2 linked regions of the Schizosaccharomyces pombe genome follow. The protein of the gene in region 2 interacts with the protein of the main gene of each other region in a pairwise test. Each region holds a gene or a part of one and is shown on either strand. Other genes may lie near its edges. The genes, in order: lsm2 and plp1.

Region 1 (3,639 bases), on a different chromosome or scaffold from region 2:
AAACCTACGTGGACGGCTCTTGTCAAAGTAAATGGGATATAATATGATAGATGGCATGTGGATGGTGAGTGAGGTAGTTGGCAGCAAATGCGATATCATACTTATGCTGCTCAACCGTATGTAGTAGATAAATACGATTTTACTTTCAACTTACTACTGAACATTTCAATTATTTTTAAAAAGAAGACGTTTTTCATGATTAACTTAGAATAAAACTAAGAACACTAAAAAAGTAAAATCGTATCATTCACTGGGAAGATCTTAAAAGAATACAAAATATATTAAAAAAACGATGAAAGAGAGTGTGCCTGATTGGCTTAAAGGTGAGATCGGTTGAATCCTACAAATGAAATCAGTAAAATAAATTGGAAGAAGAATTAGACTTGTAAAACACAAATCTGAGTGGATATCTTTTAAAGTAATACAAACGCTCTGTTGCTAATGATGCATGAGTGCTAAAAATTCCCTCTCGCAGCAATAAACCGATATGTAACGATGTATGTATTTTATGATAATTGACAAAGTCTCATCAACTATATTAATGGAAGAAGCCGTACACAAAAATCATGTAAACGCCAACAATTTTCTACTTAATTTTTTTTTTTGAAGATAATAAAACGGTAATTTTAAGGGATCGGTTTCAGGCATAATAGGGAAGCTGGATTTAAAAGAAAAGCGAAAAGGTAGTAAGAATATGGATGAATGAAAGGGGAGGAAAATACCTTCAAACAACAATGGTCCTTAATAAAATGATGTATATACACATGTATATTCCTTTTGCGGGCATGAAAAAAATCGCAATGGGACACATGATGAATAACCGAACTACGATTAAATAAGCAATTAGTTCACGGTTTCCGAATATATTGACCAAAAAAAGGAAATTTTCAAAGGAATTATTGACGCTTATTATTAGCCAAGTCTAAAAACCAGTGAGTTAATAAGGCTAAAATTTCAGTGTTTAACAAATCATGGCTTACCTCTACGACAAGCATCAGCTAATAAAATAGTATCAACATATGCACTTGACATATGGACGTAACGAACAACGCTACCACGAATAAACAAATCTTTAACAGCAGCCTAATAAATTATTAGTTATAACTCTGGAATAATAGCACGAGATAGTGTTAAGAGTAGGAACGAAAAAAAAAGGATAGATCGAAGAATTCAGAAAGTGAGGCGCACTTTATGATCAGTCTTAAATTGTTCAATTAATGAAAAACCTAGATTTTAAAAGTTGAGAATGTAGCATATACGTTGGGAAAGCTGATTGATTCATGTTCCTCTCATGTAAGATGTTGTACATAATCGATTTGGACAAGACTTTTTTCAAAAATCAATCAAAAACCTAAATAAAATGAATAAACCGAACCCTACCGATCGTAGAAATCATTTATTTCTCTTTCAATTCCCGATAACTTGCAAAGCATACCATATGAGGATATTTCGACGCATCGACCACAGAAATATTTTCAAGCTTAACGTTTAAAAACTGGTCAACAGATTTCAAAATTCCTCGGATACTCATATCATTCTATAGTTTGGTTAACCTCATAACGCGATCAAAAAAGCCAAGTAGGGGCATACCTTCAATTCCACGGTAACTTCCGTGTCTATTAATGTCTTAAAAAATGAGTAAAACAACATTATAATCGGGAGAAGACTCGTTTTACACGCTTTTGGATGAAGTAAGAAAGATGCAGCGAACAGAAGAATGTGTCATGTACAGGCAAAGCCCATTTACACGGTATTGTGTTGGAGCTCGTACATTTTTTTGCGAGGATTTACGAAATCAAAAAATCATATTAAGGCTGTCACCGAGATTAGTTATGATACAGTACGTTGAGTGTCACTATATGTTCACATGTTCCATTTACATATCGCACCGCAGATGATACGATGTTGATATTAATTTTAACAATAATCTATTAAAATCCAAATCATCTAAACAACGTAAATAGAGTTACTGCTAAACCTCATTCCTTACACAATTATAAGTTGTATTTGCAATAGATAACAATACAACTTGATAGTACAATACCTAAACTCAGTTGCTACTTATAGTACCTGTGTATTGTAATATCATAGGTCACAAAGGAAAAATTACCGCAGTTCTATGTAATCGTTAAAGCAGATACCAAATTGCGTAGCTGACATTATATTATACTACAACGTTTTGCTTCTCAAAAACGTTTTAAGGAAATCTAAGTTGGGGTGAATAAAAAGGGCAGTGACAAAATAAATGTGTCAGAAGCAATTCACTGCCTCGTTCAGTTTTTTCGTTCTTCTTTTTTTATGCCATTGTTTGAAGGAATTAGTTGGAAATTTGTTTGAACAATTTTATTATTTTGTTAAAAAGTCTTTAAAGCGATTGGAATTGGACTACAGAGTGAATATTCTTGATTTTGCTGTTTCGTTTGTCGCAATCACAACAATTGAACTATTTGTGTGTATATCATTAAATAATAGACTGTCGTTAGAAAATGAAGAATAAATATTACCCCTTGAGGTCGTCTATGGATGAATTGAGTGCAAAAAACGATAATGAAATTGATTTGGAAAAAGGTCCTCTCCCAGAATACAATTCAGAAGATGGGAGCACATTGCCTCCATATTCAGGTAAGTGTTGTGTTGTTGGTAGATAAGATAAAGAATTGAGTGTGTCAAGGATTATTTGCTGTGTCTGTTTGTTTTGATTTACAATGTTTTTGTTGTGTTTGTTTGTTTACAACTTGACATATTACGAGTATAAATTCGTCTAACAGGGCACGCTCTTTTTTCCTTTCCCATTAAAAAATATTCTAAAGTTACCATTGAATTTTGCTAACAATATAGAAAATATAAATTTAAAGGATCCCAAACAAATGGGAGCTAACAACCCTAACTTATTTAATACGGACGAGTCTACGACTCCTCCGGATTATGGTGAAGACAGTCTTTCTATTACACATAGAGAAAACCATTCTTCCGGGACGGCAGATAATTCTTCTACCTCTCCGTTGAAAAAAGCATTTTTATCATTCATTTCAATCTTTGTGCTAAACGTACCCGCAGTTTGTTATCTAACGTATAAGGACGCTCTCTTTAAAGATTATGGCAAAGATGAATGGGTATATTTTGGAGTGTGGTGTGCTATTTGCCTAATGATTTTTATTTCTTTATGGTGTAAGTGACACGATAGGTCAATTCTTACCTTCAGTCACTAACTCATTAGACTTCTATGAAACTTGGATCAAGGCAGTCAAAGTAACTGTAATTTTCTTGGCACAATGTATAAAGGTGACTGTAGTTTTCTTGGCACAATGTGTAAAGGTGATCTCTATTGGCCTTTTCAACATAAGAAGAGAAATGATGATTATAATTTGGTTACTCTGGTTAATCATTTGTTGTATACTCTTTGGTTGCGTCAAATCTGGCGATCTGAACTTAAATAAGGCTCTCATCTATTCCACATGCACTATTTCGGCTGTTTTACTTTTAATTGTATCATCTGGTAAGTGAAGTTACAATGCTAAACGCTGACAAACAGTTTGTATTCCATTTTGGACATTCGAGCGTACGTTAGCTAAGTTGGCAAAAGTGTTTTTGTTACAAAGTGGTATCGTGTTGGTACTAAACGGTACGATGTTTTTACGT
Region 2 (3,725 bases):
TCATTTGTGCCAAAAGATTGGGTTCGAGATGAGTTTTTTGATACTCTGAAAGAGAAAAAGAAGAGCTGTAAGGGTTTTTCTTTTGATGATCTACTACGCAGGGATTTAAAACAGTATTTTCCGGACGGAATAGTCGTCAATTATGCCAGTGTTGGAAAGGGATTAGATTGGATCAAGAAAAAACGTCTCGGATGGGAAGATGAATTGAAAAGTTTTGCCGAAGTGCAAAATTCTGATTTGGTAATTGTTGGGTTATCTCTGAGTAAGAACGACGAGTTTGGTCGTCAATTGATTTTATACAAGCGTACTGAAAGGGGAGCTGGTCTTGCCGATTCTTTCTTAAAACTTAGCAAACAAAATTTAGGATTAGAAATTATTGAAGAGAAAGATAATGGCGACCTCAGTATGTGGAATCAAAGAAATTCCGCTGCTAGCAGAAAGAAAGTAGTTCCCTTACTTATGGACTCAGTTAAACAAGTCGCTTCAAAATAGTTACTGCTTTAGACTCCATTGTGATTTCTGTTCTGTACATTTTACGATAGCTACACTCATCAGTAGGCTTATGATAGATTTTAAATTTTTTTAAAAGGATATATATTATACATCACATTGATCTAAATTTCTTACTTTGTAATCCCAAGATCCTTTTATTCAAAAAAATCACTGTCATCTGATTGATTATTTTGTAGTTCATCGTGGTAAATAGACTTGTTTGAAGAACTCTCTTCTTTTAATCGGTCGATTGCTGAACTCTTGAGCAACCGAAATTCTAGGAGTGAAGTTTCAAAATCATCTTTATTACCTAAATCAGCAAATCCGATAATCTTATCCACGAGCTGAGAATTTACGTAGCAAAGTACGGCTGGTAATACTTTGAGACCCAATTTGACTACCAAAAATGGAGCGTTGGCTGCTTCAATACGGATAAACTTAGTTTCCCAATGTACTTTGGCAATTTTCTGAGAATGTTAGCGTAAGCAATAAATGGAACTCCTCGTACCTCTAGATGAGAGTCTATAATTTTGCAACGTATAAAATCAGGGTGGTAAAAATGTATAACAACTTTTTTTGATGAACTAAAAAATAATTAGTTTAAAATAATCGAAGCTAATGTTTTGACATACAGCGTAAAATCCATAACTTCGCGCTCATTTTCTACAGTAAGAAACTGCATGTGTCCTTTTTCTTTTGCAGCTTCCACTCTAGCGAATCTGAACGGTTAAATTCTTAAAATCATTTTAAAGCTTTTTCTTACTCTTTTTTTAGCATCTCCAATCTCTGTTCTCGATAAGCAGTATCATCAAATTCATCCAACTGTGAAAAGAGCGCATCTTCCAATTCTGAATCACTTTCGGTTGCAGCTTGAGTAGCATACGTATCAGCGTAAAGATCAACTGTTGGGTCGTTACTAATGTCAACATTAGACATAATATGTACGCTACTGTAACCTACCTATTATGCAGTTCTGGTTCATTGTAATCCTGAGTATCCTCCTTTCTTTCAGTAACCTTCAAAGCTTCATACTCGTTGGCGATTTCCTTTTCCAAAGGAGATTTCATAGAAATCCAAGCAGGCTTGTTTTCTACAGGCTGAACGTTTGTCAAATCCATTTGATAACCACGTTTACGCGGCCCAAATCCATGGGATGCTGGAAAAGATGTCATATAAATTTCTTCAAATTTTCTAACATCTTCATCAAAGTTTCCCTCTTGTATGGAGGCGCGGATTCCTTGAAAAAAGGCAGTGAAGGCATAAACATTGTGTCTACAAATCGTTAGCTTTCTTTACCATGCTCTTTAATATAAACATACAGCTGTAAAAGTATCCAAGCAACTAGCTCTCTAGCCTGTAACAGATGCCTAACATAAGCGCGTTTGTATCTACGACATGTTTTGCAAACGCAGCCGGATTGCAATGGTTCCATGTCAGTAGCAAACCTTTCGTCCCACATATCCAAGCCAAGTTCAATTTTAGAATTCAACACATCTTTAGAAGGAGGCGGGAAAGAGAATGTAAGTGCAACACCAGCATCAGTAGCTTGTGTTATCATATCTGGAACAATAATGTCAATTCCTCTTTGAATGCATTTCAGAATTTCGAGTGGTGATTCAAATTTTTGAATACTCAGTCTTGGGAGACCAACCAAATCAGCTGGTAATGGATTGACATTGTTAGAAAATGCCAAGCCAGCAATGTTGTTAGCAAGTTGATTTTCTTGAAAAAACTGGAAAATAGGCGTAAGGTACTGAGTGTCCAGATCAGGAACAGGGAAAAATACTTTAGTAGTATTGAAAGCGTCCGTCGCTTTGAGTGCTAAAAGCAACTCAGTTGTCCAATTGACAGACCGTTCCACAATTTTTGGCTTCCTTTTGACACCAGGAGGACTAGTTGGGGTATCATTTAAAGGAATTACTAATTCAGGACAAAGCTTTAGGACAGCTTTAATATACAAGTCATTTGTCAGTTTCTTTGCACCACTTGCAGTAACGATATTAATATGACTTTGTCCTGCAGAAACAGATGGCAAAGGAGATGTTCTTCTTGGAGCAAGTAAAGTAGGTTGGACAGAGGGTGCTGCGATCCATTTTTTGATAGTTCCCTCATTAGTCAAGATTGGTGAGGCTTCCAGACGATCCAAGCTACAAACATATTAGTTAGAAATTCAAATTAAAAAAGATATGATAAAGCATTTGAGTCCTAAATTTAAACCTTACCAATCCTCCAACCCTACATAGAGAGCAGGAATATCGAATTCTTCAACATTGTCAGGTGTCAAATGAGGAACAGTTCCTCTGGAAGTAGGAAGGAAAAAGCAAGGAGTCTTCAGAACCTTGTTCTTCACCGTAACTGAAGATACGCGAGCCCCTGAAGGACTAGATAATGAAGAAATTGCCATCAATAAATCGCAAAATAAAGCTGCAAAAGTTTTGCTCTATTTACACATGTACGATATCAAAATAACGATGGTTCACTGTAGCACATTAAACGAATATTGCTATATGAATGTTTTTTAAATTTGAAAGATATTCAAACACAAAAGGTCGTCTAAACATTCGATTTATAATGTTGTAAAATAGCTTTGTTTGGATATCAGTAGTCTTACAAAACTGAAAGTTTTTAGTTAAGTAAAAAAAAAAATATCATTACATAAATTATAGTAAATTGTTTAGACTTTTTTTAAAGTTTTAAAGTAATAATAAAACATGCAAACAAGAAAGAAACAATGGAATAAAAACATTAATAACGGATAATTTTGCGACGGCGGAAGTCCTTTTCATCTGAAGCGATGTCATATAACGCTCTTCGTTTCATTTCTTTTTTCTCTTTTGTTCTTCGTTTCATTTGCTCCATCTCTTTCCTGGTATATCGCTTGTTTCTCCGTTCTGCCAGTAAACTTTGGCCATTGTGACTATTCAATGAAGAATTGATGTCAAAGTACTGTTCCATATGCTTATGTGCTTTGTTTTCTTCACTTCGCAACTCTGGTGAAGCCCATTTTGGCATAAACTTTCCAGATAGGCGATTGAACTGAACTTTCGCTGTGTAATCTAGGGGACTAGTCTGCTCTTCATCTTCTAACGGATTATTCCAGCTCGTCGTATTTGTTAAAGTGTCCCAAAAATAGTAAGCCTGTTGAGAAGGGTCCCAAATAGCGGCTATCCGATGACCCTCGGACCAAGCAATGGAAGGCTGTGCTTGGTTTTCATTTGTAGGGGAGTTAGAAG

Evidence for each region.
Region 1: the proteins of plp1 (region 2) and lsm2 interact in a two-hybrid assay, tested with the Schizosaccharomyces pombe proteins (one large-scale study listed by BioGRID).

The regions. Positions count from the first base shown.
Region 1 is NC_003421.2:2,143,275-2,146,913, forward strand, and holds lsm2 (U6 snRNP-associated core protein), read right to left. Parts: upstream 1,712-3,639; 5' UTR 1,651-1,711; coding exon 1,591-1,650; intron 1,538-1,590; coding exon 1,436-1,537; intron 1,084-1,435; coding exon 981-1,083; intron 923-980; coding exon 897-922; 3' UTR 675-896; downstream 1-674. Other genes in the region: putative signal recognition particle subunit Sec65, read right to left, coding at 1-57; wtf meiotic drive antidote Wtf23, read left to right, coding at 2,487-2,622, 2,839-3,168, 3,218-3,496, 3,533-3,639. UniProt on the Schizosaccharomyces pombe protein: Component of LSm protein complexes, which are involved in RNA processing and may function in a chaperone-like manner. Component of the cytoplasmic LSM1-LSM7 complex which is involved in mRNA degradation by activating the decapping step.
Region 2 is NC_003424.3:3,947,283-3,951,007, forward strand, and holds plp1 (thioredoxin domain-containing protein), read right to left. Parts: upstream 1,665-3,725; coding exon 1,453-1,664; exon of another isoform or gene 1,409-1,452; coding exon 1,256-1,408; exon of another isoform or gene 1,212-1,255; coding exon 1,125-1,211; intron 1,077-1,124; coding exon 1,001-1,076; intron 960-1,000; coding exon 648-959; 3' UTR 603-647; downstream 1-602. Other genes in the region: ppx1 (exopolyphosphatase), read left to right, coding at 1-492; qtr2 (queuine tRNA-ribosyltransferase accessory subunit Qtrtd1/Qtr2), read right to left, coding at 1,775-2,639, 2,715-2,896; splicing-associated factor Saf2, read right to left, coding at 3,238-3,725. UniProt on the Schizosaccharomyces pombe protein: Inhibits early G-protein signaling events following pheromone stimulation. May help create heterodimerizable beta-tubulin by facilitating the efficient transfer of nascent beta-tubulin polypeptides to the folding apparatus.